Anolis sagrei: one gene and its partners. The protein of the gene in region 3 interacts with the protein of the main gene of each other region in a biochemical or structural test. Links are inferred from orthologs where the notes say so. Each region holds a gene or a part of one and is shown on either strand. Other genes may lie near its edges.

Region 1 (11,165 bases), about 90 Mb from region 3:
CGGCTGCTCACGCAACCGACCCTTGGCTTAATCCAATTGCTGCATTTTCTGGCAGGCGGAGGAGCCCTTGTGGAATCCCGCTTTGGCCCCGCAGAGAGATTCTCATTGAGTTGCCATACATTTCCCAAACCCACTATGTTTCAATTTTCCTCCCCCCCCCCTAATTTCTTTTGGAGTCACGAGGCACCCCAAGAACGCCAGGAATGAAGCTTGGAGGGGCGTCCTCCTCCCCCGCGCGCCTCTCCCGCGTGGCCTCTCCCTCCCCGCTTTGCCTGGGGGCGGGCCAAACCATTCCAAAGCGGAGGGGGGAGAGCGAGAAAAGAGAGCGAGAGGCTATGTTGGGCTGCTTCTTCTTCGAAGGCGCGTGCTGCGCTGGTCACGTGGGGCCGGGCCGCTGTCGCAGGTTTGAATCACAAGCCCGGCTCGAGCGCAGAGGAGCCAAACCGTGCGGAGGAAAGAAAGATGGCTCCGTGCTATGGAATCTGGGGTGATCTTGTAAAACCACAACTCTTTGAAGATTCCCTAGCATTGCTACCATTCCTTCTACAGCGCCCAAAGGTGCGCCATTGAGAATTGGGGAGAGGGAAGGGTGTTAGTGAGGAGGACCTCCGTCCGAAGAACGTGCTTCCTCTTCCTCCTCCCGCCCCGCCTTGAATGCCGCAGATGGACGCCAAGAGCGGCTGGAGAAACGTGACCGAGAAGAGAAGCTGATCAAGGGGGGCGGGTCGCAAGGGGGCGTGTTTGACGTACATCTAGATCTAGGGAGACTCTGGCGCCTCCAGGGAGGGGTTCTCAGTCTCCCCCCCCCCCTCCCTCCAATCGATCAGCCTTCCAAAATCAGAACAGGCGGAGGCGCTAGATGGAAACATCCATCTCTCTTGGCGCCTTGGTTCCCAGAGAGCCGCCATGGCATGTTTGTTTTGGAAATACCCCCCCCCCCCCCCCAACACCAACACCACTTCCTCTTGCAGAGAGAGAGAGAAAGATGGAAAGAGCTAAAATCCCCGATACTCTGGCATCTTTCCTTTTGACTCAACCAAACTAAATGGGGCTTTAATGGATGCCCTGATTCTTGGCGTCATTATGTAAATAGATATTAGATAATGACGCTATGTATGCATGTAATACGTATAGCAAGAGTAATTAACGTTCCTGGGGGGATGGGGATTTGGTGGTGGTGGAATTGGGGAAAATACTGGTATTTTGACTGTTTATTTTGAAGATTGTATGTTTCTATATATGATACAATATATTTTTAAAAAGCTATGTATGCATGCATGTGTGTATATGTATATGTATGTATGTGTATATATATATATATCCAGGGGCATGTAGCCAGGTTGGGGGGGGGGGGGCTTGAGGGGCTTCAGCCCCCCCCCCCCCCCGAAATTCTCATGGTGGTTCACAAAAAGACCTTACTGGTGCATTATTTAAACTGATATGTTTATTCATATCATGATCTGATTACTATATTCAATATATTCCATATGCATGGGGGTATTGGGGTAACGATACAAAAGGTTTGCTAGGGTAGACCCTCTTTCACTCAGACTGAGCCCCCTCCCCCCCCCCCCCCCCAATCAAAATCCTGGCTACGGGACTGCCTTGGAGGTGACGTTTGGTGCTGCTTCAGAATAAAGATGACTTTGGAAAAGAGAAATGCTACCAATCCAAGAACAGAATCTAAACCGTCGGGAAAGGGCTTGATGCAGCTATTCCCAGAGGGCGAAATAAACTCAGCCCCCCCCTCCCCGAATCGAAATCCTGGCTACGGGCCTGTATATGTCTGTGTATATGTAAATATATAAATACAGATGCATCTATATATGTATATATAAGTATATATGCATATATAAATAAGGATGTACCTATATATGTATAGATAAATAAGTATGTATGTGTATATATATATATATAGGTGTGTGTGTATAAGTTTGTATATATACATATATATGTATGTATGTATATATAAAGTATGTATACATATGTATAGATAAGTAAGTATGTATATATATATGTTTATATGTGTGTGTACAAGTTTGTATATATACGTATATTATATATTGCTTCTTGGCAGGGGGTTGGACTGGATGGCCCATGAGGTCTCTTCCAACTCTTTGATTCTATGATTCTATATGTATGTATATATAAAGTATGTATACATATGTATATATAAATAAGTATGCATATATAAATAAGTCTCTCTCTCTCTCTCTATATATATATATGTATGTACGTATGAATATATAAATAAGCATATTTGTGTGTGTATATATATAATAAGTATATATACCGTATAACTATGTATATTTATGTATATGTGTGTACTGTATTTATGAATTGGAGTGCGTTTTACAATCGATGGCGTCTTACAATTTCAGTACCAGCACCACCCACAAAAAATACCCAAGATACACCCCATTTTTAGAGATATAGGGGGAAAGTGCGTCTTGGAGCTGAAGGTATACTAGATAAATAAATAGATATATAGTATATCTTCAGTCAAGGGGGGGTTTACCTTTTTAGATAGATAGATAGATAGATAGATAGATACCTTCAGTCAAGGGGAAACCTTTATCTCCCTATCCCTATTTATTTATTTTTTACAAAATAGACATGTCCTGCCTTTCTGAAGCAAGATTGTGTGTATGAGAGAGGAATGCTGCCGGAGCCCCCCCGCTGCCAATCCGTTACATAAGATAGCACGCACCCGGTTGAGGGAGCTCTGCAGCATCAGGGTCCTCCTCTTCCTCCTCCTCCTCGTTCGGCTTCCCTCCCCTCTGATAGAGAAAGGTGGGTTGGGGAGGTGGGCGGGAGAGTTTTGAAGCCCATCTCCAGCACCCATCTCCTCTCCTTCCTTCTCTCCATCCCCCCCCTCCCTACTCTTCCCCAAAGACTCTTGCCCATAATCCAGTTTCAGAATGGCCTCTCGACATGATGTCGTAGTAGGCAGGAAACATGAATGAAGCCGCCCTCCCTCTGGCCGTGGCAAGAGGAGAAAGGGTTCAAAACCACTAGGAAGCGGAATAGGAACCCTGCAGCCTGCTCTCTATTTAGAGTCCCCACGATGCTTGTTATTCCTCTGCGTATTGGAAGAATCTCTTCCTAGATAAACAAGGGTCCATAGTATTGATTGAGGGAAAGAGATATTCATATTCAGCAACAACTGAAGGTTTTGCGACAGGACTGCAACGGCACGGTTGGGAGAGCTTTCCAGCTTCCCTAAATGGCGATGGATGCGGAGGTGAATTTTTGAAGAGGCCAAGGAAGGGGGTGAAGCATGTGAGGCATGTAAACAGTCTTGATCGCACCCGGAATTTGGAAATACGGGACTAAATCCCACTGTTGTCCTCCCCAAGTAGAGCAGACCTCTTGGAAGGAGCCATGACTGACTAAATGCCACATTGAATGAGTAATAAATGACTGGAATATAAATAGACTCATTGGATGAGTAACGTTTTGCAGTCCTTGTGCGGGCTTGATTTGGTCCAGTAGGTCTATGCGGTGGAGGCTAAGCCTTAGATTTAGCTTGATGTTTCTCACTAGTTGTTACTATTTATATCATTATTAATTATTATTATTAATTGTTATTATGCGTAGCCCCCAGGCATCGAGGCAAGAGATTGGCCTTCCTTCTCTACAATGTCTCAGAGCCAGAAACCCTTGCTCCTTCCTGAATGCAGACAGGGGAGCTGTCCGAGGTGCTGAACCCAAGCTCTATACTGTGTGCGGGGTTTTCCTCTGAGCCGGAAACGCTGTATACTTAATACAGGCAGGTGAGCTGTCCGAGGTGCTGAATCCAAAGCCCTCTGCAGTGTCTGCGGGGTTTTCTTCTGAGCTCCTTATCCTTAATGCAGGCAGGGAGCTGTCCGAGGTGCTGGACCCAAGCCCCCTTGTGTTGCTGTTGCTGCTGCGGCATCAGAGCTGGGAGCTGCGCGCGCAGCCCCTGATGGATTCCTGCGACGGAGGCGGCTGCTGCTGTCCATGGTCCTGAAAGTGGAGCTGCGGCGGAAGACCCTCGGCCGCTCTATGCAACAAAATCCGCGCTATATCTCTGGTATTATATCCCCCACACACATCCTTCCAACTTTTGCCACCATATTACGAGGCAGCCAAAACAGAGCTATGCGCCAAAACGAGAGAGGAAATGAAAGCGAGAGAGAGGCCAGCAAAACAAAAACAAACCCTTTGCTTTCCCTGTTCAGGAATGCTGGGAGAAGAGCATTAATAAGTTAAGAATACATGAATATTGTCGAAGGCTTTCATATCCGGAATTATAAGGTTGTTCAATGTATTGTCGAAGGCTTTCATGGCCGGAATCACTGGGTTGTTGTAGGTTTTTCCGGGCTATATGGCCATGTTCTAGAGGCATTTTCTCCTGACGTTTCGCCTGCATCTATGGCAAGCATCCTCAGAGGTAGTGAGGGCTGTTGGAAGTAGGAAAATGGGTTTATATATTTGTGGAATGACCACAGACCACAGAGTTTTCCGGACTGTATGGTCATGTTCCAGGAGCATTCTCTCCTGACGTTTCGCCTGCATCTATGGCAAGCATCCTCAGAGGTAGTGAGGTCTGTTGGAAGTAGGAAAATGGGTTTATATATCTGTGGAATGACCACAGATCACAGAGTTTTCCGGACTGTATGGTCATGTTCCAGGAGCATTCTCTCCTGACGTTTTGCCTGCATCTAGGGCAGGCATTAATATTTCTCTCCCCTTCATCTTCTCTTTCATTATGATTGGAGATATTTCTGCTCCTCCTTCTCAGACTAAACAGTAAACAAATGAGTGTTTTTCTCTCTCTCCATCTTCGTACTGCTCCTCCTTCCCTTCTCGGCCTAATGAGGGTTTCTCCTCCCCCCCCCCCCCCCCCCCCCCCCCCTCTAATCAGAAATAAACATCAGGGTTGAAGAGATTCATACTCTCCTTTCTCCCCCGCAAAGCAATGGAAAGAAAAGAAGGCAGGCGCCAGGGAGTGCTTCCTTCCCTCCTTACCTGGCCTCCGGGAGCGTTGCTTCCTCGCAAAGCCTGGCTTGGCTGGCAACCGGGGAAGGAGAAGGAGAAGAGCCGCTCCTGACCTCTCCGAGTCTCCTTCTTCAATGAAACGGGAGCTGTGCCCTCATCAAAGATGGCCGTCGCTCCCAACGTCAGCAGCTTTTAATAGACATCTATTGAGGGGCGGATGGGAGGGGGAGGAGGGGAGGGAAAGGAGGGCGCGCGCGCGCACGAGGAGAAGGGAAGGGAGGGGGGAAGAGCCGGAGCGCCAGGGAGGCGTCTGGGGGAGCTTGACTCATCAGAAGCTGATGCTGCTGCTGCTGTTACTGCTGCTGCACAATATACCGCAATCCCGGGCATTTCCCTCCCCCTCCTATACAGAAAAGAAAACAGAGAGGAAGGGATCCGGTAAAAAAAAAAAGCAGTTAAAGGACCCAAGAAAGGGGGTGTGATCTTCCGTGCAAGCCAGAGTTTGGAAGGGTGTTTTGAAAGGGGGAAAAAGTATTTGTTATGATGAGAAGTTTTGGTTTCCTTCAGCTGGGGGCGGGAGCAGCACTGCGGTAGGGATTTGTTTTCGCTAGAGCAGTGGTCCGAAAAGGGTATTCCTCTGAAGACTCCAGCAGACTCCATATATGGCCTGTTGACGTGGCTCTTTCTATTTTTAAGGATGCTTTTCCTTACTCCGAAGAAGCCACATTTCTCGGGGGGCTTGTCAAACAAGACAATGAGGACTCCCCAATAATTAAAATGTGGGGTTGTTTGTTGTTGTTGAGAGGTTTTACTTTTTTGCCTTGTAATCTACGTTGGCACATAATGCAGGGTTGCCAAAGAGCTGATTATATCTTTAGAGAAATGCAGAGGTGCCATAGATTCAGCCCACAACCACCAGCCTTATTTACTTTGTGTTGTCGAACGCTTTCATGGCTGGAATCACTGCGTTACTGTTAGTTTTCCTGGATGTATGGCCATCTTTCAGAAGCATCCTCTCCTGACGTTTTGCCCACATCTATAACAGGCAGGGCTGTAGCCAGAAATGTTTTTTGGGGAGGGTTGAAAATTTCGAGGGAGGGGTTGAAAATTTCGAGGGGGGGGGGGTGTGTGTGTGAAAATTTCGAGGGGAGGTCAGGCCTGTAGCCAGGATTTCAATTCGGGGGGGGGGGGGGGCTGAGTTTTTTTCAGGGGGGGTTACGGGGGGGGGGGCTGAGTCTGAGTGAAAGAGGGTCTACCCTAGCAAACCTTTTGTATCATTACCCCAATACCCTACCTGCCTACAGTTTCTCTCCTCCTGCTGCTTGGCCTCATCCAACTCTATGATTCTATGAGGCCTCATCCAACTCTATGATTCTATGATTCTGGATATATGGGATATATTGAGTATGGTGATATGAATAAACGTAACAGTTTAAATAATGCACCAGTAAGGCCTTTTCGCGAACCACCATGAGAATTTCGGGGGGGGGGGTGGCTGAAGCCCCTCAAGCCCCCCCCCCAGCTAAATGCCTGGGGGGGGGCGTTGAAACCTGCCTCCTAGCTCACGCTTAAGCAAAGAGCACAGCAGGGGGCAGAGCAGCCTTCAATAGCCTGCAGCTCCGCCCCTGTAAACCACCTCCACCAAGTCTGGCCTCCTTAATGAAAGCATTCAAACCCCCCCCCCCCCAAACTTGGTTGCTTCACTGCATCGGCTATTGCTGCATGTAATGACAGTGTGAACAAATTGTCAATATTTGCTTGAGAAAGTGCTTGCAGTTCTGGAGGGACTCTTAATTTTTGCATCTCATAGATTTAGCATGGGGATTTGGTTAACCAGTTAAAATTCATGAGTGAACTAGGTTTTTTTTAACCTGAAAATTTGGGGGGGGGGGGTTGAACCCCTAACACACACACACACACACACACACACCCGCTACAGGCCTGATAACCGGCATCCTCGGAGGTTAGGAGGTTATGAGGTCCGTTGGAAGATAGGCAAGCTTATTTACTTTGCTCATCTTCAAACCTGGATCTAGACACTAGACTCCTATTGATGCAGGCCAAAATCCCATTGGCTTTTTTTGCTGCTGCATCACATTGGTGGCTCATGTTTAACTTGTTGTCCATGAGGACAAGTTAAATATAGTTATTTTTCTATTTAATAGAAAAATAACTACATGCATATGACTCCTACAAACTATATTTTTTCATCTTGAAACACTTTTGTTTTTATGTAAAGGAATCAATATAGGATGAATCTCCCTTCTCTCTCCCCATCCTGAAATATATCCCATCAAAGAACCACTGTGGCCCAATCCCTTGAAGAAAATCAAAGATAGCACAACCATGTTGACAAAGCAGGGAAGCAGGATGTGTGTCTCAGTAAATCTTGAGTTCAGGTGGACCATAAAGAAGGGAAGCAGAAATAACAGTGACCCTCTTCCTCTTTTGTTGGAAAGGGAAACCTTCTACAAGCCTCCTATACCAGTTATTTGTTTAGTATATAATTCAGATTGCTTACCGTATTGTATATGTGTGTATTGGTTTGCAGTTATCCTCAGTTCTATGTTGTAGGAGGGCTGCAACATAGAACTGGGACTGTTCATCTGAAACTCCATTTTACTAACTGTATAATTTCCAGATGCCAGTAGAAACAATATGCTTTTGGAAGACTGTAGAAACTGACTGCATACACACTATTAGACTTTCAGACTAGAGAGATGCTCCAATGGTTCTCAACCTGTAAGTCCCCAGATGTTTTGGCCTTCAACTCCCAGAAATCCCAGCCAGTTTACAGATGTTAGGATTTCTGGAAGTTGAAGGCCAAAAACATCTGGGGACCCACAGATTGAGAACCACGGCTTTAGACTATGAGCTGTTAAGATTACAAGAACAATCCCCTGTGTTATCTGCACAGAGAAATTACTTCAAATCCTATCTGTAACTGGATTGATAAGCAATGTACTTATATGCTGAATACTTGAAGTTTGTGAGTAAACCAACTATGCTGTTTTAACAAAGACTACTTTATTTTTGGCATCTTGAAGCATGATTTAAACCAGGATGTTTTAAGAGACAGTTGATGTTTGTTTAGGCAGCTGAAATAATACTTTTGAAACTCTGATATATGCATTGGCATATCTTTGTTCCTAACAGTTCAAAGAGATATCTAGATATATCAGTCTAACATCTGAGAAACCTAATTGCTTTGCATGAATGCTAGTGATATTTACCAGTAAGGGGAAGGTTGACTCAAGTGCATTTTTAACTCTTCTCAGGAAGATCATACTTTACAAAAAGGTTATGATCTCTAACAAGGTCATGCCTTTCTAAAAGATTCCTGGTTTTTCCAAATGGTTATGAATATTCATTTTCCAAAAGGTTATGGAGATTTCCATTTTCTGAAATCTTTAGTTCTCCTGCTTTTCCTTTTTCAGTTTGACATGATCATGAAAAACTGTGGTGCCCGATCTTGAGCTAAAATTCCAGGACACTTGGTTCCCCTGCAGAAACCTCATTTAAATTTAGATGTTCTAAAACTGGAAGAAGAAGAGGAGGAGGAGGAGAAAGAAGATCTTTTAGAAATGTAAGAGGCAAGGCAGAAGAATGAGAAAAGACTCCAGGCTGCCTGCCTGTTATGTGCCTGCTATAGCTTGTAGAAAAGTATTTGAAATGAGATGAGATGCAAGGCTCCTGCTACTGAAAGCAAACCTCTCATTTTTGAAATGGAACTCATCTGCAGTCTTGACTACACCTCTCAGAATCCTTTGCCATTGGCCATGTTGGCTGGGAGTTTTGAGAGTTGAGGTCTGATAGCATCTGGGGAGCCAAGGCTAGAAACTATCTTTTCTTTACTTTTCAAGGGACTCAAGGTATCAAGAATCAAAATCATGGGTATATTAGGACTCTGGGCACTTTCTGCCTGCCCGTTCATCACAGATCCATCAGCCCAGAAATGCAACAATCTCTGTCTAACCTTCTGGGCCTACCATATGCTTCCTCTCTTCATGAATAAGATTGTGTGGCTTGGATTGTGTGGCTAGGATGGTCCACAGAAATGAGCACCCAAAGTACTGGCCTTCCCTCCATCCCTTCGTGTTCACAGTTGTCTTGAAAGAAAATATTATTCGATGTATCATTCCATCTGGCTCCTTGTTACTTTGGTACTTTCACAAAATTACTGAGGATGTATAGCAGATGTGTGCGGGCGGCCCTGAAGTAAGGCTGATGGTGGCAGAGAGGAGGGGAGAGGGAGGTTTGGATGTCAGGCTTGTTTCTAGGCAACAAAGGCTCTCCTGGGAAACTGCAATCATGAGCAAACTGGGAAGGGAAAATAAGTGGGCCTTGACTGGGAAGGTAGTGGGAAGGGGGCGTTGACAGCATTTGAGAACTAGCCATCTTGGGGGATTCCCTCAGAGCACAACTATGCCAAGTGTAGGAAGAAAGAATGAAGAAAAGTTTCTGGGAACATTCTGGAATGTGCACTCTTGTACATAGTGGTGTCACAAAGTCTGGACTACTTAGTACAAAACAAGATACCGTAAAGTCCAGAGTAATTACAAATAATTGTGGTAATGTTTTTTTCTTCTCCTTATTTAAAACTATGGAGTTGAGGAGCCTTCTAATCAAGGTGAAAGAAGAAAGCACAAAAGCTGGGCTGCAGCTAAACATAAAAAAAACCAAGATTATGGCAACAAGAATGATTAACAACTGGAAAATAGAGGGAGAAAATGTGGAGGCCGTGATAGACTTTGTATTTCTAGGTGCAAAGATTACTGCAGATGCAGACTGTGGCCAGGAAATCAGAAGACGCTTACTTCTTGGGAGGAGAGCAATGTCCAATCCCGATAAAATAGTAAAGAGTAGAGACATCACATTGGCAACAAAGATCCGCCTAGTCAAAGCCATGGTATTCCCTGTAGTAACCTACGGATGTGAGAGCTGGACCTTAGGGAAGGCTGAGCGAAGGAAGATCGATGTTTTTGAGCTGTGGTGTTGGAGTAAAGTTCTGAGAGTGCCTTGGACTGCGAGAAGATCCAACCAGTCCATCCTCCAGGAAATAAAGCCCAACTGCTCACTGGAGGGAAGGATACTAAAGACAAAGTTGAGAATTGTAATTTTAAATGGTAATTTTATTCTTCTCCATGCCAAAAAAAAAAAAAAGCTGCATACTGAAATGGATGGTGTTGGTTTGGGCCTCTCTCAGAAGGAATTCTTCCTCTTGCCCAGTAAAATGAGAAGGCTGAGAGCAAACATGGGACTGGCAGAGAAAGAAATGTCACTCAAATAGCATTGTTTCCAAATCCCCAATGACAACTGATGGCTTCCATGTAAGTGGGATAGCTTTTAACCCACACTATAGGATTTGCTCATACGCTGCACATTACCCTATATATTCATTACCTTAGCTAGCTCCTTTAAAATTCAAGCAGAAACCCAGACTTAATTCACAACCCAGTGGAATCAAAGTCATCAACTGCTATTATTTATGATTGATTGTTTATATTGCCCATTTGCTTTGTTTCTTATTTTGTGTTGTTAGCTGCCCCGAGTCCCCACTGGGAGAGAGGACAGGATACAAATAAAGTTTTGATTGATTGTTATGGAGACTGCTACTGAGGCCCCCACGACCCTGCCCACATAATCCATATTATAGCTCCAAGAAAGCAAACCCTTGTCCAATGTCACAACTATTCAATTTAGATTCTGGTGTGACTGTCTTGTTCTGCTGCTGTCCTGATAACTGACAGTCATGTGGCACAGGTGGATATAGCTTTCCTCCTCATCCACATCTCCAAAGTAGGGTGAAGCTGTGATGCTTTTACTCTGTGCCAAAGTGCTGCTGGAGAGGTGGTGTGAAAGTGATTGTCCCTGTTTGCTTCAGCTTTATTATTGCTGTGAGACAACAGGTTGGTGTGATAAAACCCTGAATTGAGGAAACTCTGGACCATGAATCTTACCATCTTTGCTGAGCCTGGTGGTAGCAGAACAAGAGAGATTATTCACATTTACAGGGCACCACTGCAAACTGTTGAAACAGGAAACTATGATGGCACAGCAAAGATCCTGGAAACAACTAAAATTGTCTAGATATATTCCAAAACATGGCCCTGGGAGAAGGCTCCAGTCTACTGGAACCTAGCCAGAGATAAATATAGCCCAAACTACATTTGGAAAGATGTGTCTCCACAAGAGATGGA
Region 2 (11,343 bases), about 52 Mb from region 3:
CCACTGGTTGCCAGTCATGGGAGCTGTCCTCTCATCATACTGTGCTGATATAGCATCACAGTATACACTACTTTGGATGAGACTAACCTACTAATTGTTTCCTCAACCAGATATTATACGGTATTGTGCATGCTGTTTAAAGACTCTATATATCTATTTCTGATAAATAGATATATATCTATATCTATTTAGCTAAATACAAAATGCTGGTCGTTAGCTATAAAGTCCTATATGGTTCAGGTCCAGGCTATTTGTCTAATTGTGTCTCCCAATACAGACCATCCCGTGCATTGCAGTCAACGGAGGAGGCCCTCCTCTTGGTCCCACCCCCATCACAAGCTTGGTTGGTGAGAACAAGAGGGGGTTTCTCCATGATCGCTCCCTGTCTCTAGAACTTCCTCCCTAAAGAAATAAAAATGGCCCCCACCTCTCCTTTGAGAAACTTTTGAAGACACACTTATGCACTTTGGCATATGGAGGGGGAAGTATAGGAAACTTTAATTCACTGGAATGGGCTAACCCACTGTATTATATGGCAGCTATGATACATTTTAAATTAACTTCTATGCTAGCCATCTTTAATATAATGCATTTTAATTGTTGTTCACGGCATGTGCCTTAATGTTTACTCATTAAACATTGTAGTTGTAGTTCACTATGTCCTACTGAATTGTTTATATTTTGTTTTTCATTTCAATGCTTAGTTCTTTTATTATAAATGTACTGTTGTTATTGTGCAGTACTCTGAATTTATTTTTGATCTGTTGGTACTTATTTGAGGCATTGAATGTTTGCCTTTTTTGTGTGTAAAGCGCCCTGAGTCCCTTCGGGGAGAGGCGGTGGTCTAGAAATAAAGGGGTTTCTATCATTATCATCATCATCGTCATCATACGATGAATAAAAGTTCAGTAGAATATATTTAACCAGGAAAAGTTTCAATATAATGTTTTATTATACAACTTTTTGAGAAAATATCTATAATCCCTCTCAATTCAAAAGCGTATTCATTATAAGAAACTATTTAGGAAACTAATGAGTATGCTTTAAAAAAATGAAATCTGAATGGAATTGCATAATTTTACACACAAGCATCCTATTGTTATAGTAATGTTTATTTTGTTTCTAATATAATTGTTCTATGTTTGTAGTTTACAATTATAAATCTCAAAACAGTAGAACTAAGTTATACTGAGGGCTGCTGTTTTCATTTGCTTTTAGGAATCATATGTTTATACTGTACTGCCTTCTTCATCTGGGAGAATTCTTGATCTCTCTTTTAGTGGGCAATCTAACAAGGGGTGTAACGAACATAGGAAAATGGAATGGTTGACAATGTGATTGGACAATGTTTTAACAAGGAGACTCTAATGAATATGTGTTTTTAATTGACTTTGTTATGGTTTTATAACCTCTGATTGGGAGCCCCCAGTGGTGCAGTGGGTTAAACCCCTGTGCCGGCAGGCCTGAAGACTGACAGGTCGCAGGTTCGAATCCAGGGAGAGCGCAGATGAGCTCCCTCTATCAGCTCCAGCTCCTCATGCGGGGACATGAGAGAAGCCTCCCACAAGTATGATAAAACATCAAAAACATCCGGGCTTCCCCTGGGCAACGTCGTTGCAGACGGCCAATTCTCTCACACCAGAAGCGACTTGCAGTTTGTCAAGTCGCTTCTGACACGACAAAAAAAATTTCTCTGATTGTTTTTGTGGTTTTATATTTATCGTGTCATCTGCAACCAGAACATTGTATTACATTTCTAACAAAACAAAACAAACAAACAGATTAAAAAAACCCACAAATTTTGCAAACTTGGTAGCTGATTAAATATCCTTTGACCAGTATCTGGCCACTTGGAGTGCCTCTGGTGTTGCCACATCGTGCATGTGGCAGGGCTCAGGTTGCATTGCAGCAGGTGGTCAGTGGTTTGCTCTTCTCCACACTCGCATATCGTGGATTCAACTTTGTAGACCCATTTCTTAAGATTGGCTCTGCATCTCATGGTGCCAGAGCGCAGTCCGTTCAGCGCCTTCCAAGTCCCCCAGTCTTCTGTGTGCCCAGGGGGGAGTCTCTCATCTGGTATCACCCACGGATTGAGGTGCTGGGTTTGAGCCTGCCACTTTTGAACTCTCGCTTGCTGAGGTGTTCCAGCAAGTGTCTCTGTAGATCTAAGAAAACTATTTTTGTGGTATTGAAATTGTATTGGTATTAACTGTACACTGCCCCGAGTCGCCTGCGGGCTGAGAGGGACGGTATATAAATATAGTAAATAAATAAATAAAAATACTTCTTTTTCAGTTACTTCAAAGTATAACTCACTCCTGCCTGTGTCCTGTACAGAAGTTGTGAAAGAGTTGAGAGAGGAAAGAAAATATACTTACGATGTATTCCCACTCTCCAGTTTTTGATTGTTTACAGTTTTTGAATACTGCCATTTTTTATGTTTGTTTGTTTACCTCGACACTCCCCTCACTAAAAGTTGTCACAAAAACAAACAACCGCTCAGGAAGTGCTTGGCTGCCTTTGACAAAGACTGAAGGTGGTAGTTCTAACTCCGTCCCTGGAGGGATTTGCTTTGCAGGAGCCCTATTCAAGGAACATCCCCCCCCCCCCCAACTGAGGAATTGGGGACCTGCAGCCCCACAGGTGAGCTCCATCCTTAACCCTTTTGAAGGACCACCGGCAGAGTACTTACAGGCCGCATCCACCCAGCAGACAGCCATCGCCCAGCGGCAAGGGCCACCCCCCGGGCCCTCCACCGGCACCGCCACCACCACTGGCTCCCCGGCCACCCAAAGAAGCCCCGCGCCAGAATACAGGAAGCGCCTCCACGGATACAGCCAATCAGAGGGCCACAACAGCCGCCGCCCTTTGCATGCTGGGAAGGGTAGTTTTCTGCCTCAGAGAAGCAGGCCGCGGCGAGAAGGAATGATCCCGGTGCATTTCGGGAATTGTAGTTTTGGACAACGTTGTGGCTGAAATTATCCCAGAGCCTTGGGCCATTGCAGTTAAAGTAGTGTCAAACTGCATTAATTCTACACTGTAGATGCACCCTTCATACTATAGAGTTCTGAATGTTGTCATTTCACAAACTCTTCTCTGGTACTGGTAGCAATCAGTCAGGCTTTGAAGCTGCAAGGCCATTCAATGCTAATCAAGGTGGCCAGTTGCAACATTCACACTTGCCTCAAGCAGACAAGTGTTCTGTCTCCCACCCTGGACATGCCAGAGATATATAAACCCCACTTTATATAGGTATGTAGTTTCCAACATACCTGTCAACCTCTAAGGATGCCTGTCATAGATGTTGGTGAAACGTCAGGAGAGAATGTTTCTGGAACATTGCCATACAGCCCAAAAAACTCACAGCAACCCATCTTCTCTGGTACCTCACCAAATTAAATCCTATGACTCCACAGCATGGAAACACAGCAGTTAAAGGGCCCTTCTACACTGCCCTATATCCCAGGATCTGATCCCAGATTATCTGGCAGTGGAGACTCATATAATCCAGTTTAAATCAGATAATCTGGGATCAAATCCCAGAGTATACAGATATGTAGAAGGGGCCAAAGTGGTCGAGCTGCATTAATTCTACAGTGTAGATACACCTAACGGAATATTTAGGATAGTCTTGTTGTAAGGAGGTCTTAAATACCCTAAAAGCATCCAATTCTGTCTGGGTTCTTCTACACAGCCATATAACCCAGAATATCAAGGCAGATCATCCACAATATCTACTTTGAACTGGGTTATCCGAGTCCACGCTGCCATATATTCCAGTTCAAAGCAGAAAATGTGGGATTTTATTCAGCTGTGTGGAAGGGGCTTAACAAAACTATTAAATCCATGGGGTCACCATATGTTGGCAGACAATAGAAACTATCAGTGTGGTTAGTGCATTGGAATAGGACTCCCAGGATGTAAACTTGCTTAGCAACTCACACTCAGCCTGAAGGGGAAGGAAATGGTAAACACCCTCTCAACAAATCTTGCCCAAGGAAATCCCACAATATCACTAGTTGGAAATGACTTGAATGCACACAGAATCAACTGTATTGTTAGGACCTGTTGCTAAGCAAACATATGTCTGAACTATCTGTGGATGCTAAAGAGGAAAACCACTCAGTCCTATAGGGAAAATGGTAACGTTCCTCTGAACAAATATTGCCAAGGAAGTCCTGTGATAAGATAATGACTTGATGGCACACTACAACAACACAGCACAGAGGAAGGTGTGTGTAAAAATGCTACAAGCATGTGCACCCATCAATTTGTACAAATGCCATAGTTAAATACCACTGATAAAGCCCTGGACTGTATTTAATTACACAGCTTTCCTATGTAATAAACTAAAGCAGACTGATTCAACAAGTTGTTTCCAGGTTGTTGTTGTTGTTTACTTCAGGTCTCCAAAGAGTTGTGGAATGGTTTCCAAAATGCTCTACAGCCAAAATTCATTCATTTTGATTAGAAACAAAGGTATGTAAATGTTTTAAACTAACAGGATACAATGTAGTTTGCAATAACACGAATTTTGCACAATCATCATCTTTCTTTTTCTTTAATTTTTGGAAATGCATCTTTGGTTCCTTTTGGGGGGACTCCCAAAAATGCATTTCCCATCCCAGCGAGTTGAGCACTGGATTACAATTCTAAAGGTCAGGATTTTAATTCCCTTATTTATTTATTTATTTATTTATTTACGATATTTATATACCGTGTTTCTCTCCCCTGGGGGAGACTCAAGGCAGTTTACAACATACTAATGGCAACAATAAAATGACAATATACATGTAAAAAGAAAAATCATAATAACTTTAAAAAAATATTTTTATTGTTTCATAGTGTATGTAGAAAACAAAACAAATGAACAAAAGGAAAAAAGGAACAAAGAAAACATATGCAAAAGATTTACAAAAGAGTCAATATTCATTAAACATATATACAATCAGATTTGGTTGTACAATTATTTATACCTTAATATTACATAACCCTCTATCCCCCACCCGTGAACCCCACCCCCTGACCTCCGAAACTCCTCAAAACAGGATCGCATTACTAAACAACAACTACCCAAATATCTTTTTTCACTGAATCCCTTTATGGCAATTTTCAAGTTTACCTTTGTCTTCTTTTCCAAATACCCAAGTGCCAGCCTCCATTTATTTGCAAATTCTTCATTATTTCCTCCGCAGCTGCTATTTGTCAGCTTGGCCATTTGGATATAATCTGCTAACTTATATCTCCAATCTTTAATAGATAACTCTTTTTCCAGGTTCTTGTGGGTTTTTTCAGGCTATAGGGCCATGTTCTAGAGGCATTTCTCCTGACGTTTCGCCTGCATCTATGACAAGCATCCGCAGAGGTAGTGAGGTCTGTTGGAATTAGGACAATGGGTTTATATATCTGTGGAATGGCTGGGGTGGGGCAAAGAGCTCTTCTCTGCTGGAGCTAGGTGTGAATGTTTCAACTGACCACCTTAATTAGCATTTGAAGGCCTGCCTGAGCCTGGGAAAATCTTTTGTTGAGAGGTGTTAAGATGTGCCTGGTTGTTTCCTCTCTGCTGTTTTGCTGTTGTAATTTTAGAGTTTTTTAAATACTGGTAGCCAGATTTTGTTCATTTTCATGGTCTCTTCCTTTCTGTTGAAATTGTCCACATGCTTGTGGATTTCAATGGCTTCTCTGTGTAGTATGACATGGTGGTTTGTTGGTGTGGTCCAGCATTTCTGTGTTCTCAAATAATATGCTGTGTCCAGGCTGGTTCTCTTTTTCCCTTTTCCAAGTTTTGGCTATTATTAGTCTTGCCGTAACAAAGCAATATTGACAAATTTCTTCATCTCCTGCACTGATACGCATTCTAAAGATAGTGCTTGCAGTTCTGGAGGGACTCTTAATTTTTTGCATCTCATAGACTAAGCATGGGGATTTGGTTAACCAGTTAAAATTCATGAGTAAACCAGGTTTAAAAAAAAATCTGAAACATTTCGGGGGGGAGAGAGGTTGAACCCCTAAAACCACCCCCTCGCTACAGGCCTGGACCTAAGGTATTAGGAATTGTGAGAGTTGAAGTCCAAAGCACATGGAGGGCTGACGTTTGCCCATGCGCAGGACCCATTTAAAGCAGTTCAAACTGCATTATATGGACCAGCATTATATACTTAGTGAAGACCCATTTAACGCAGTTCAAACTGCATATGGCTCTACATTGACCATATATTACTGTTCAAAAGGCCGTATTTGGCAGCATAGATCCAGCCTTAGCCCCCACTCCTCCACACAGCTGAATAAAACCCCACATTTTCTGCTTTGAACTGGAATATATGACAGTGTGGACTCAAATAACCCAGTTCAAAGCCGATATTGTGGGATTTTCTGCTTTAATATTCTGGGTTATAAGGCTGTGTGGAAGGTCCTTTAGGTGTATATGTCTCTGGGCCCTTCCACACAGCCCTATCTCCCAGAATATCAAGGCAGAACATCCCACAATATCTGCTTTGAACTGGGTTATCTGAGTCCACACTCAGATAATGTGGCAGGGCCTCCAGTGCCAGGAGGTTGAGAGAGCTCTCCTCCGCCTGCCCTCTGAATGACAACATTTTAGACAAACAGGAAAGGTGGGCGGGGATGCAAAGGTGGTGAAGCGAGGGGCGGGGCCAGGCCTGGACGGCCATGAAGTTTCACCTATAACAGCTCTGGCCGAGCGAGCGACCAATGCGCTGCGAAACTCAACGCGAAGGAGGCGGGGAGGCGAGGGCTTGGCGGAGGAGGAAGGAAGGAGAGAAGGCAGGCCGGGTGGGGCTTGGCTGGCTTGAGCCGAAGGAGGAAAGGCGGGCGAGAGGGGCTTTCCGGAGGAGACAAGGCTTGCCCAGCGACGAAGGAAGACCTGAGGCTGGAGAGAGAGGAAGGCAGAGAGGGCAAAGACGGCCTGTGGTGAGTTTCTGTAGAGATGAAGAAAGAAAGAAGGAGCGTGGGAAAGATTACTGGGGCTTCTTCTTGTCTTGAGAGGAATAGGAAGCCAAGGCGACACGTTGAGGAGGAGGAACTCAGGGCGAGGAGGAAGAGCCCTGTGGGAAGAAGAAGAAGAAGAAGAAGAAGAAGGGGAGGAAGGCAATGGGGGCAACGTGGGAGAAGCTCCCCCAAAGTGCCTCCTCTGAAGCCCTGGCTTGGATTTTGGCTGCCTAGTTTCAGAAGTGTTTCCCATGTAGGACTAGGCCCGGCTTCCTGTGGTCTGGTTGGGTCTCTCTGAAGCAGGCATCACTATCAGATTGTTGTCCTCCAGCTGTTTGGGCCTCCAACTCCCAGAATTCCTTAAAGCCTCTGGGAGTTGGAGGCCCAAACAGCTGGAGGACCACAGTTTGAGTGTGCCAGAGTGTGTGCATGTGTGTGTCCTCATCAGAGGTTGACCTAAGTAATTTTCAATGGTAAGCAAACTATTTTGCCTGTATTGTCGAAGGCTTTCATGGCTGGAATCACTAAGTTCTTGTGGGTTTTTTCGGGCTATATGGCCATGTTCTAGAGGCATTTCTCCTGACGTCAGGAGAAATGCCTCTAGAACATGGCCATATAGCCCGAAAAAACCCACAAGAACTTAGTATTTTGCCTCCCCCCCCCCCCAAACCAATCACTGATATATATTTTCTGTTCGTCATGGGAGTTCTGTGTGCCATATTTGGTTCAATTCCATCATTGGTGGAGTTCAGAATGCTCTTTGATTGTAGGTGAACCATACATCCCAGTAACTACAACTCACATATGTTAAGGTCTATTTTCCCCCAAGAGCACCTCAAGAGTGCCCCTGGGCAAAATCAACTATACTGCAAATGCTTACTTAGCGTAATGGGTTGAGCTACCCCTGGTCCTCATTTTTGTTCTGTGTGTTTTTTTTAAATCCTGGCAGGGTTATCCCCTTCAATAATAATAATAATAATAACTTTAGGTTCTTCTGGGTTTTTTCAGGCTACAGGGCCATGTTCTAGAGGCATTTCTCCTGATGCAGGCGAAACGTCAGGAGAAATGCTTCTAGAACATGACCCTATAGCCCGAAAAAACCCACAAGAACCTAATAATAACTTTGTTTATACCCCGCCACCATCTCCCCAAGGGGACTCAGGGCGGCTAACATGAGGCCAAGCCCAACGATTACAACAAAGCAAAAAGAATACAAACATACAATCATACATCAAATAAAATACAATAAAATATCAAAAGAAAATAATACAAAATTCAAGTGCACTTTAATTGTCAATAATAATAATAAACTTAATTTATAACCCCCCTCTCCTCAAAGGGACTCAGGGCAGTTTACAGGAATAACAAAATGGCAAACGTTCAATGCCAAAACCAAATAGACCAGTGGTTCTCAACCTTTGGGTTCCCAGATGTTTTGCCCTTCAACAGCTGGTAAAATGGCTTGGATTTCTGGAAATTGTAGGCCAAAACACCTAGGAACCCACAGATTGAGAACACCTGGTCTATTTGGTTTTGGCATTGAGCGTTTGTCATTTTAGACAATCAAAATAAAACATAGAGTGAAATAAACTCAATATAGGTTGTTGTATGTTTTTTCGGGCTATGTAGCTATGTTCTAGAGGCATTCTCTCCTGACATTTCCCCTGCATCTATGGCAGTGGTTCTCAACCTGTGGGTCCCCAGGTGTTTTGGCTTACAGCTCCCAGAAATCCCAGCCAGTTTACCACCTGTTAGGATTTCTGGGTGTTGAAGGCTAAAACATCTGGGGACCCACAGGTTGAGAACCACTGATCTATGGCAAGCATCCTCAGAGGTAGTTTCTACCTACTTCTGAAGATGCTTGCCATAGATGCAGGCGAAACATCAGGAGAGAATGCCTCTAGAACCTCATATAGCCCGAAAAAACCTACAACAACCCAGTGATTCCGGCCATGAAATCCTTCGACAATACATTAAACTCAATATAGCTTATAACAATCAAACAAGAATTAACTCAATGAACCTAAAGCATGAAGAATTATACTAATTAATATACAACACATTAAAAGCACAAGGTAGTATAATGTAACATATAGCGTAACACAGGGGTCTTCAAACTAAGGCCCAGGGGCCAGATAAGACCCTCCAAGGTCATTTACTCAGCCCTCACTCAGGGTCAGCCTAAGTCTGAAATGACTTGAAAGCACACAACAACAAAAATCTTATCCCTGCAGCCAAAAGCAGGCCCGCACAACCCATTGAAATACTAATAAGTTTATGTTTGTTAAAATTGTTCTACATCTTAATTATTATTTTGTTTTAAGTGTTTTTTGCATGACAAATAAGATATGTGCACTGTGCATAGGAATTCATTCATGTTTTTATTCAAATTATAATCCGGCCCTCCAACAGTTTGAGGGACTGTGACCTGGCCCTCTGTTTAAAAAGTTTGAGGACCTCTGGCATAACATGTCAGCCAAGGCTGTATGCTATTGGATTATTGTTCTAATAATAATAACAAACTTTTGTACGCCGCCTCATGTTCCTGAGGGACTCGGAATGGCTCACAACATGAATAAATACAATAAAGTACACAAATAATACATCAAATCAATATAAAAAACAAACAAGATAAGCCAAAACACAAGTAAACAAAATTAACAATAAAAATAATAAAACATTAGTTAAAAACACAGTCATTTCTATGAGTTAGAAGGGCGCTACTACCCAACTCGAGGTATATCCATATTTAAAAAAACCCTTGTTCACATTAAAAGTGTTTACTACATTGCCAAAAGCCTGTTTACACAGCCATGTCTTAAAATCCCACGTAAATGTAAGGATGGGATTGTCTAATCTCGCTGGGAAGGATGTTCCAGAGCTTCGGGGGGGGGGGGGGGGCACTGTTGTGAAGTCCATCTCCCTTGTCCCCGCCATCCTCATATGTGATGGGTTACATTATAACATTAGTAATAATAACATATAACATTATAATCATAATAAGGCTAACAAAGGAACATCTATGGAGGGAGACTCAAGCCATGAACCTGAAATGCTGAGAGGAAAATAACACTATATAACAATATAACATTAATAAAAACAACAGATAACAATATAATCATAATAAGGATAGTTTTATGAGGTATTTGCCCTTCTCCGGCCCCATCTATGCTGGCAGCCCTGAGTTACAAACATCCGACTTACAAACGACTCATATTTAAGATCACAGGAAGTGAGAGAAATCTACCCCTTGAAAGGGGAAATCACTCCTGGAAGAGTTATCCTGGGAAAAAGGTGTCTCAGCTGAAGTTTATCACCAATCCTTGTTTCTGCAATAAGTCAAGTTTTTCAAAATCCAATCATCACAGGGACAGAAAATCTACAGAACCTATCTTGTTCATAACTTGAGGACTGTCTGTAATGCAGTTTGATACTGCATTATATGTCAGCATATACAGTTCATTTATATGAGTCTACACACAGACCGTATCATGCAGTTTCAAACTACGCTATATGACGGCATAGGTGGGGCCTCTGTTAGTGAGCTTTCGTACCACTACAGATAACAGAATTTTATCGTATTAAACCATTATGGTAAACTGCTATAATTTTGCAGTGTTAGAGCAATAGCATGGTTTAATTTTTAGTAAAGCCACCGTTCTTTCTACTGGGTGTCCCCAAAGTCACCATTAATAGGGACATTTTAGTTAAATTACGTTTATTTACAAAACATTCCTTACAAAATTTTGCAAAAATATTCTCTACATGTTGTATATCTGAAAATATGAGTTTGTTCACTTTTCCTATGTACAGAGACTTTTGCGACACCCTGTTTTTTTGGTTTTTTTTTAAAAAAAGGAACTGTTATCTTTCACCATCTAGTGAGCAGAGGAAGTTTCACATACAGCTCAATGTTTTGGCTGTTTTGCATTACAGACATACCACAGTTAATGAAGCTGATGAGTTCCTAGGAATTACATCTTCAACAGAAACTAGGACCAGAGGCAGAAGTATTGTAATATGGAAAGAATAGAGCAAGGTTCCTACACAACAAAACAAAAGAGCAGGGCAATGAGTTTCAGCAAACTTTTTCTCCAAGGCATACAATATGTGAAATAAAATGACCAGGTTACACACGCCTTATTCAGATTTCTAAAATACAGTAGACTTTCAGTTAACTGGCACCCATGGGAATTGGTAGATGCCAATAAATGTAAATTTTGGTTGCTTGGGGGTTACTATTAAACATTGTCCTAACTAATGCTATACCTCATACTATATCATACCATCTATTCTGTATAGACTTGATCTTAATGTTGAAATATAATAATTAAAAGCAAATTAAGACAAGCTTAGTATAACACAGTTTTACATTTTCACTTACGATTGATCTTA
Region 3 (10,609 bases):
TGTGGAACACCCTTCCCGTGGACATCAGACAGGCTCCGTCCCTGTTAATATTCCGCAGGAAATTAAAGACCTGGCTGTTCAAGAAGGCGTTCGAACAAGAAGTGCAATAATTGGTAATGACGACAGGAATGGAACAACGGAAAATGATACTGGATTGTGGTTTAGACGATGAGACGACGTGGAATGGCTTTTGTATTATTGATGATGTTTTTGATGACGATGTTTTTGGTTAATGCTAGATTGATTATTTTAGATTGTGTCTTGAATTTGAACCTGTTTCTATGTTGTACACCGCTGTGAGTCGCCCTCGGGCTGAGAACAGCGGTATATAAGCAAAGTAAATAAAATAAATAAATAAATAAATAAATAATTAGATTGGCCCCATTCTTCCTGGTCTTCAGGTAAAAAGCTAAAGACCTGGCTTTGTGCTCAAGCATTCAAAGAATAGGGTAACGTGGAATTTGACTTTAACCTTGCAGTCCAGATAATGACCATGGAAAACTGGATGTTTGGAAATAATGACTCAGAACTTTTTATGTTTTTTAACTATTTTACTGTGTTTTATAGGTTTTAACTGTTTATATGTTTTAATTGTTTTATAATTTAATGTGCTATGTTTTTGTTATGTGCAAAATGAGGCACTGAATTTTTGCCGTAGTTTGTAAAGCCGCACTGAATCCCCTTCAAGGTGAGAAGAGAGGGGTATAAATAAAGTAACACAAGTTATTTACACTGAGAAAAAGAAAAGAGCTAGACGTAGGAGTGTGAAACAGGTCATCACCTTGAAGTCAGCAAATATGAAAGAAGTAGCATGCCTAGGCCTTTGCCAAGTCTGGCACATGCTGAACTACTAACACTCTCTGGCAATAAAAACTGTGAGAAGCTGTGTTTATGCCATCTGCATATCACGTCACACCATGATGATGCACTCAATAAAGATGTACTTCAGGAGACGCATAAGCAAACTTGTCTTACAGGCCAGACACTTGTGTTTTTCCTCCTTTTAAAAATGACGGATTTCAGCTGAAAACTAAGGGCCCTTCCACACAGCCATATAACCCAGACTATCAAGGCAGAAAATCCCACAATATCAGCTTTGAACTGGGTTATCTGAGGACTCTTCCACACAGCTGAATAAAAGCCCACAATTTCTGCTTTGAACTGGAATATATGGCAGTGTGGACTCAGATAACCTAGTACAAAGAAGATATTCTGGGATATAGGGCTGTGTGGAAGGGCCCCCAGAATATCAAGGAAGAAAATCCCACAATATCTGCTTTGAACTGGTTTATCTTAGTCCACACTCAGATAATGTGGGATTTTCTGCCTTGACATTCTGGGATATAGGGTTGTGTGAAAGGGCCCTGAGTCCACAATGCCATAAATCGCTGTTCAAAGCAGATGTGGGATTTTATTTAGCTTTGTGGAAGGGGCCCAAGAAGCACTAAAGAGTTGATTTCAAGGTACATCTACACTGTAGAATTAATGCAGTTTGACACCACTTTAACTGCCAAGGCTCAATACTATGGAATTCTGGTCGTTCTACTTTAGATAGGAACTTTGACAGAGAAGGGGCCCTTCCACACAGCCCTATATCCCAGAATATCAAGGCAGAAAATCCCACAATATCTGCTTTGAACTGGAACAACCTCCACACAGCTGAATAAAATGCCACATTGTCTGCTTTGAACTGGAATATATGGCAGTGTGGACTCAGATTACCCAGTTCAAAGCAGATATTGTGGGATTTCTTGGCTTGATATTCTGGGTTATATGACAGTGCGGAAGGGCCCTGGGTCATCCGAGGGCCCTTCCACACAGCCCTATACCCCAGAATATAAGGCAGAAAATCCCACATTATCTGAGTCTGGACTCAGATAACCCAGTTCAAAGCAGGTATTGCGAGATTTTCTGTCTTGATATTCTGGGATATAGGGCTGTGTGGAAGGGCCCCGAGCCTACACTCAGATATTCACTCAATGATTCCTTAGCATTGAATTGTGTCATCTAAAAGTGGTGTGAAGCTGCATTAATTTCACAGTGTAGCTACATCTTCAGAAGTGAGTCGCCTAAGGGCTATGAAGGTCGGTATACAAATATCTATATAAATAAAAATGTAATGTTCATTTGTGGGATTAACATAGTTCAAAAACCACTGGATGAATTGACACCAAATTCGGACAGAATACACCTATCAGTCCAACGAGTGACCATCACTTATAAAAACACCGAAAAACACAGAAGAGACTTAAAAAACCAAAAAACAAAATTACTTTACAACGCATGTGCAAAACCACATATATACACAAATATATACACACACACACATATACACACAAAACACACATACAGGGCCACAGTAACACGTAGCAGGGGACAGCTAGGTATAAATAAAAAAATGTAATATTCATTTGTGGGATTAGCATAATTCAAAAATCACTGGACGAATTGACACCAAATTTGGACAGAATACATGTATCAGGCCAACAAGTGACCATCACTCATAAAAACACTGAAAAACACACCAGAAGAGACTTAAAAGCAAAAAACAAACAAAAAACATTACAATGAATTCACAAAACCGCACACACACATATATACACAAAAATATGCACCCACACACATGCACACACACAAAACACATATACACAGACTGGGCCACAGCAACGTGTGGCAGGGGACGGCTAGTAGTAAATAAATAAATTTCCTGCCTTGGTATTCTGGGATATAGGGGTGTATGGAAGGGCCCCGAGCTGACACTCAGATAATGTGGGATTTCCTGCCTTGATATTCTGGGATATAGGGCTGTATGAAAGGGCCCTGAGTCCACACTCAGATATTGTGGGATTTCATGCCTTCACATTCTGGGATATAGGACTGTGTGGAAGGGCCCAAGAGTAAAAGCATGCAAAGCTCCAACTCCCATGATTCCTTAGCACTGAATCATGTCAGTTAAAAGTGGTGTGAAGCTGCATTAATTCTACAGTGTAGCTGCACCTTCAGAAGTGACCACAAGCTGAGAGACTGAACATTATGTTCTGAACTGAGGATTGAAGAACAAGGGGAGGGGCAGCTCCAAGTCAACTGAGCCATAAATGTTATGTGAGAGAGGATATGAAACCAGCACTTCAGCCCTGGTTGGGCCTATAATGCTCTTGTGACATCTTATATAGATAATGTCCGCAGGCACATATCTGAGTGCACCAAGGAAGGAAAAAAAAATAAAAGTGACAGGAGGCGGGAAGCCAAAAAGAGGAAGTTGCCAACTCTACTGATCTTGGTGGGGGGAAAAGTGGCGGGAAACAGAGACTCCCTCCTAGCCATCTTCAAATGGTTTTATTATTTTGGTCACAGTGCCACATTGCAAGGTGTGCATGTGGTTCCCTAATGGACATATTCTCAGATCCATTATGGCAGGTGTGGGCCAACTTGGGTCCTGCAGGTGTTTTGGACCCCAACTACTTTTGGACTCCAACTTAAGCGGCGGAGGGGGAAAAGGAAAGGGCCTGAGGCTGTTAGGAATGGTGGGAGTTGGAGTCCAAAACACCTGCAGGACCCAAATTGGCCCATACCTGCATTAGAGCACTACTAAACAGTCCCACCCTCACTTTGCCAGCCACTATTGGCAGGTTTGGAAACTACAGAGCTGTGGAAGCCTATTCCAACCCCCCGCCCCATATTCTATATTATTATTTTCCAAATTTAGGGGTGACTTTTACCTTAAGGACCCAGTCTTTGGATTCCCACCAATAGCCACACTATTCCAAAGTGGGCCCTTTCCCTTTACAGTCCCTATGGTTGGGATTAATACAGCTTGACACCCCAATGCTATGAGGAATCCTGGGAGTTATAGTTTGGTGAGGCGCCCACACTCTTTGGCAGAGAAGGAGAAAGACTCTTAGGGTCCCAGAGTAGAGTTAGGGCAGTTAAAGCGGTGTCAAAGTGCATTAATTCCCCAGTTTAGAAGGAAGGAAAGAAGGGAAAGAGGGAAGTGGATGCAGGGGGCTTGCTCACCGCCTTCAGCTGCTCCAGCCGGTCCTTCATTTTGGACAGGTGTGTGCCTCCTCCTCCTCCTCCTCCTCCTCCTGTTTTTCTGCAGGTGGACCCGGGCGAAACTCCCCTCCAGGAAGTGGCCTCCCGGCCCCGACGGAAGGACGGCTTCCTCCTCCGCTTTCGCCCTCTTTGCCTTGGCTGGGAGGGGAACTCGCTCTGCCTGGCCGCGGCGGAGGGGAGAGACGCCCCCTCCCCACTTGCTCTCTTCTCTTCCTCTTCCTCCTCCTCCTCCTCTTCCTCCTCCCCCTCCTTCCCCGTCTGGGTCTGATCCTCGGGCGCTGAGCTCCCCGCCGCCGCCGCTAATCCATCATGACATACGCAGGGTGGGCGGGGTCAAAGCGGGAGGCCCCGCCCACTTACCTGAGCGCAAGTCGCTCTTAAAGGGGTAGGCCCCTCCCAAGCCAGAGAGAGCCAACCTGTTGCTGGAGGAGAGGACAACCTGTGTTAGGTGTCGCCTGGAGAGGCCCACGTGGGAGTGGGAGCTGCACCGGGGGACCCCCTCAGAGAGGGTGTTGCTAATCTACCTATCTATCTTTTCTATATAAATAAAAATGTAATGTTAGTTTGTGGGATTAACAGAACTCAAAAACCACTGGACGAATTGGCACCAAATTTGGACACAAGGCACCTCTCAGTAGGCCTGTAGCGGGGGGTGGGGGGGGGGGGGGTGGGGGGGTTAGGGGTTCAACCCCCCCCCGAAATGTTTCAGATTTTTTTTAAAAAAAACCCTGGTTTACTCATGAATTTTAACTGGTTAACCAAATCCCCATGCTAAATCTATGAGATGCAAAAAATTAAAGAGTCCCTCCAGAACTGCAAGCACTATCTCAAGCAAATATTGACAATTTATTCACACTGTCATTACTTGCAGCAATAGCCGATGTAGTGAAGCAACCAAGTTGGGTGTGTGTGTGTTGAATATTCTCATTAAGGAGGCCAGACTTGGTGGAGGTGGTTGACAGGGGCGGAGCTGCAGGCTACTGAAGGCTGCTCTGCCCCCTGCTGTGCTCTTTGCTTCAGCGTGAGCTAGGAGGCAGGTTTCAACACACACACACCCTGTAAAATTTTCAACCCCCCCCCCGAAAATTTCAACCCCTCCCGAAATTTTTTTCTGGATACAGCCCTGCCTCTCATGCCAACGAGTGACCATTATCCATAAAAACACTAAAATAAGACAAAGTGGATGAGACTTACAAAGCCAAAAAAATACATTACAGTGCCTGCGCAAAAGCACATATATACACAAACACACAGCCCCTCGGCTGTGGAACTCCCTGCCTAGGGATATTAGATCAGCCCCCTCCCTCCTGACCTTTCGTAAGAGAGTGAAAACCTGGCAGGCATTCAGAACCCCGGAATAGTCAAGCTTGAGATGGAGAATGACCCAGGAACGGCCAAGACGATGAAACGGATGAGGATTGGAATGAGAGGATATAGCTCTTTTTAAATTGTTATTGCACTGTCTTTCTTGTCTAAATGCACTTAATTGTTTTTGCTTTTGTATTGTATTGATGGCATCAAATTGTGCTGATATGTAGACCGCCCTGAGTCGCCTGCGGGCTGATATGGGCGGGATATAAGTGATGTAAATATACACACACACAAATATATAGACACACATATACGCATATATATACACACAAACATATACACAGACTGGGCCACAGCAAAGAGTGGCTAGTATATATATATTCTTTGTTGTTCATTCGTTCAGTCGTCTCCGACTCTTCGTGACCTCATGGACCAGCCTACGCCAGAGCTCCCTGTCGGCCGTTACCACCCCCAGCTCCCTCAAGGTCAGTCCAGTCACTTCAAGGATGCCATCCATCCATCTTGCCCTTGGTCGGCCCCTCTTCCTTTTGCCTTCCACTTTCCCCAGCATAATTGTCTTCTCTAGGCTTTCCTGTCTCCTCATGATGTGGCCGAAGTACTTCAACTTTGTCTCTAGTATCTTTCCCTCCAGTGAGCAGTCGGGCTTTATTTCCTGGAGGATGGACTGGTTGGATCTTCTCGCAGTCCAAGGCACTCTCAGCACTTTCCTCCAACACCACAGCTCAAAAGCATCGATCTTCCTTCGCTCAGCCTTCCCTAAGGTCCAGCTCTCACATCCGTAGGTGACTACAGGGAATACCATGGCTTTGACTAGGCGGATCTTTGTTGCCAGTCTGATGTCTCTACTCTTCACTATTTTATCGAGACTGGACATTGCTCTCCTCCCAAGAAGTAAGCGTCTTCTGATTTCCTGGCTACAGTCTGCATCTGCAGTAATCTTTGCACCTAGAAATACAAAGTCTGTCACGGCCTCCACGGTTTCTCCCTCTATTTTCCAGTTGTCAATCATTCTTGTTGCCATAATCTTGGTTTTTTTGACGTTTAGCTGCAACCCGGCTTTTGCGCTTTCTTCTTTCACCTTGATTAGAAGGCTCCTCAGCTCCTCCTCGCTTTCGGCCATCAGAGTGGTGTCATCTGCATATCTGAGGTTGTTAATGTTTCTTCCAGCAATTTTCACCCCAGCTTTGCATTCATCCAGCCCCGCACATCGCATGATGTGTTCTGCATACATGTTAAAAAGGTTGGGTGAGAGGATGCAGCCTTGCCGTACGCCTTTCCCAATCTTGAACCAGTCTGTTGTTCCGTGGTCAGTTCTGACTGTTGCTTCTTGGTTCTTGTACAGATTCCTCAGGAGAGAGACAAGGTGGCTTGGGATGCCCATCCCACCAAGAACTTGCCACAATTTATTATGATCCACACAGTCAAAGGCTTTAGAATAATCAATGAAGCAGAAGTAGATGTTTTTCTGAAACTCCCTGCCTTTCTCCATTGTTGTTGTTCATTCGTTCAGTCGTCTCCGACTCTTCGTGACCTCATGGACCAGCCCACGCCAGAGCTCCCTGTCGGCCGTTACCACCCCCAGCTCTCTCAAGGTCAGTCCAGTCACTTCAAGGATGCCATCCATCCATCTTGCCCTTGGTCGGCCCCTCTTCCTTTTGCCTTCCACTTTCCCCAGCATCATTGTCTTCTCTAGGCTTTCCTGTCTCATGATGTGGCCAAAGTACTTCAACTTTGTCTCTAGTATCTTTCCCTCCAGTGAGCAGTCGGGCTTTATTTCCTGGAGGATGGACTGGTTGGATCTTCTCGCAGTCCAAGGCACTCTCAGAACTTTCCTCCAGCACCACAGTTCAAAAGCATCGATCTTCCTTCGCTCAGCCTTCCCTAAGGTCCAGCTCTCACATCCGTAGGTGACTACAGGGAATACCATGGCTTTGACTAGGCGGATCTTTGTTGCCAGTCTGATGTCTCTACTCTTTACTATTTTATCGAGATTCTCCATTATCCAGCGGATATTGGCAATCTGGTCTCTCGTTCCTCTGCCTTTTCTAAACCCAGCTTGAACATCTGGCAACTCTCGCTCCATGTATTGATGGAGTCTTCCTTGCAGGATCTTGAGCATTACCTTACTGGCATGAGAAATAAGGGCCACTGTACGGAAGTTTGAGCAGTCTTTCGCATTTCCCTTTTTTGGTATGGGGATATAAGTTGATTTTTTCCAGTCTGATGGCCATTCTTGTGTTTTCCATATTTGTTGGCAAATGGCATGCATCACCTTGACAGCATCATCTTTTAAGATTTTAAACAGTTCAGCTGGGATCCCATCATCTCCTGCTGCCTTGTTGTTAGCAATGCTTCTTAAGGCCCATTCAACCTCACTCCTCAGGATGTCTGGTTCTAATTCATTCACCACACCGTCAAAGCTATCCTCGATATTGTTATCCTTCCTGTACAGATCTTCTGTATAGTCTCGCCACCTTCTCTTGATCTCTTCAGCTTCTGTTAGGTCCCTGCCATCTTTGTTTCTTATCATACCAATTTTTGCCTGAAATTTACCTCCAATGTTTCTAATTTTCTGGAAGAGGTCTCTTGTCCTTCCTATTCTGTTGTCTTCTTCCACTTCCATGCATTGCTTGTTTAAAAATAGTTCCTTATCTCTTCTGGCTAACCTCTGGAATTGCGCATTTAACTGGGCATATCTCCCCTTTTCACTGTTTCCTTTTGCTTTCCTCCTTTCTTGGGCTACTTCCAGTGTCTCAGCAGACAACCATTTTGCCTTCTTGGTTTTCTTTTTCTTTGGAACGTACTTTGTTGCCGTCTCCTGAACAATGTCTCGGACTTCTGTCCATAGTTCTTCTGGGACTCTGTTTACTAAATCTAGTCCTTCAAATCTGTTCTTCACTTCCACTGTATATTCGCTAGGAATGTTAGTGAGATCATATCTAACTGGTCTGTGTATTTTCCCTGATCTCTTTAGTTTTATTCTAAATTGGGCAATAAGAAGTTCGTGATCTGAGCTACAGTCAGCCCCAGGTCTTGTTTTCACCGACTGGATGGATGTCCGCCACCTTTGGCTGCAAAGGATGTAGTCAATCTGATTTCGGTGCTGACCATCTGGTGAGGTCCATGTATAAAGCCGTCTTTTAGGTTGTTGGAAGAGAGTGTTTGTTATACACAGCGAGTTTTCCTGGCAGAATTCTATCAGCCTGCGTCCCGCTTCATTTTGTTCTCCCAGACCATGCTTGCCTGTGATCCCAGTTGTCATTTGACTTCCCACCTTGGCATTCCAGTCTCCTGTAATGAAAATAATGTCTCTTTTTGGTGTATTATCCAGTAGGTCCTGCAGATCCTCATAGAACTGATCTACTTCTGCTTCTTCAGCAGCTGTGGTTGGGGCGTATATTTGGATCACTGTGATGTTGAAAGGCTTTCCTTGCACTCGAATTGAGATCATTCTGTCATTTTTTGGGTTGTATCCAAGCACCGCTTTAGCGAATTTCTTATTAATTATGAAGGCTACTCCATTTCTTCGATGTTCCTCTTGTCCGCAGTAGTAGATCTGGTGGTCATCTGATGTGAAGTGGCCCATTCCAGTCCATTTCAGTTCGCTGACCCCCAGAATGTCTATCTTTAGTCTTGACATCTCACCAATAACAACATCCAATTTGCCCTGGCTCATAGATCTTACATTCCAGGTTCCTATGGTGTGTTGATCTTTAGAGCATCGGATTCGTCGTTCACCTCCAGTACCGTCGGCCGCTAGCCTTCCTTTCGGCTTTGAGCTAGCTGCATCATCACATCTGGGGCTAGTTGAACTTATCCTCTGCTCCTCCCCAGTAGCATTTTGGCCATCTTCCGACCTGGGAGTCCCATCTTCCAATGGCATACCGACATATCTCTGGTTGTACTGGTCCATTTAGTTTTCTTGGCAAGGATACTGGAGTGGTTTGCCATTGCCTTCCCCAGGGATCACGCTTGGTCTGACCTCTCTGCCACAACCGTCCCGTCTTGGGTGGCCCTTCACGGTTTCGCTCATGACATCATTGAGGTGCTCAAGCTCCAGCGCCCCGACAAGGCGGTGATCCTTTGCTGGAGATATATATTCTTTATAAATAAAAATGGTTTTTTGAGTTCTGTTAATCCCACAAACGAACATTACATTTTTATTTATATAGAATATATATTCTATATAAATAAAAATGTAATGTTCGTTTGTGGGATTAACAGAACTCAAAAACCACTGGACAAATTGACACCAAATTTGGACACAAGACACCTTTCAGGCCAACAAGTGACCATCAGTCATAAAAACACTGAAAAACACAACAGAAGAAACTTAAAAAGCCAAAAAACAAAAAAAATACATTACAACACATGCACAAAACCACACACATATATATGCAAATACAAATATACACACACAAAACACATATACACTGACTGGGCCACAGCAACGCATGGCAGGGGACAGCTAGTCTTCTATATCAATAAAAAGGTAATGTTCGTTTGTGGGATTAACATAACTCAAAAACCACTGGACGAATTGATGCCAAATTTGGACACAATACACCTCTCAGGCCAACGAGTGACCATCACCCAATATAATGTTCGTGGACAGAAAAAGAGATTTAAAGATGGGCTTATAACCAACCTTAAAAAATGTGGCATAGACACCGAGAACTGGGAAGCCATAACCCTTGAGCACTCTAACTGGAGGTTAGCTGTGACCAGCAGTGCTGCAGAATTCGAAGAGGCACAAATGGAGAGCAAAAGGGAGAAACATGTTAAGAGGGAGGCGCATCAAGCCAACCCTGACCGGGACCACCTTCCATTGGGAAACCAATGTCCTCATGCAGGAGAACATGCAGATCAAGAAAAGGGCTCCACAGCCACCTACAGACCCACCAACAAGACGCCACATCAGAAGGACCATCATCCTCAAGCTACAAGGGATTGTCTAAGTAAATAAGTAAGAGGGGGTGACATCCCAGAGCGTGGGCAAACTTTCCAACATGCTAGTAGCACTCCCTGCTAGGACTGGCCACATGGTGATAGAAGGAAGGAAAGCGAAAGAAGGACAAAAGGGTGGAAGGGAATGGAGGGAGAGGGGAAGGATGGGGGAAAAGAGAGACAGAAGCAAAGACAAAAGGGAAGGAAGGAGGGAGGGAGGAAAGAGGGAAGGAAGGAGAATGGGTGGAAGGAAGGAAAAAGAAGGATGCAATGGAAG

Evidence for each region.
Region 1: the proteins of STX3 (region 3) and SNAP25 form a complex in vitro, tested with the Homo sapiens proteins (2 studies listed by BioGRID). The link is inferred for Anolis sagrei from reciprocal best matches to the Homo sapiens genes STX3 and SNAP25.
Region 2: the proteins of STX3 (region 3) and SNAP23 form a complex in vitro, tested with the Homo sapiens proteins (3 studies listed by BioGRID). The link is inferred for Anolis sagrei from reciprocal best matches to the Homo sapiens genes STX3 and SNAP23.

What each region holds. Positions count from the first base shown.
Region 1 is NC_090021.1:145,057,913-145,069,077, forward strand, and holds the start of SNAP25 (synaptosomal-associated protein 25), read right to left. Parts: upstream 5,150-11,165; 5' UTR 4,996-5,149; intron 1-4,995.
Region 2 is NC_090021.1:286,949,718-286,961,060, reverse strand, and holds the start of SNAP23 (synaptosomal-associated protein 23), read left to right. Parts: upstream 1-6,677; 5' UTR 6,678-6,930; intron 6,931-11,343. UniProt on the Homo sapiens protein: Essential component of the high affinity receptor for the general membrane fusion machinery and an important regulator of transport vesicle docking and fusion.
Region 3 is NC_090021.1:234,866,727-234,877,335, reverse strand, and holds the start of STX3 (syntaxin-3), read right to left. Parts: upstream 4,376-10,609; 5' UTR 4,045-4,375; coding exon 4,015-4,044; intron 1-4,014. UniProt on the Homo sapiens protein: Potentially involved in docking of synaptic vesicles at presynaptic active zones. Apical receptor involved in membrane fusion of apical vesicles.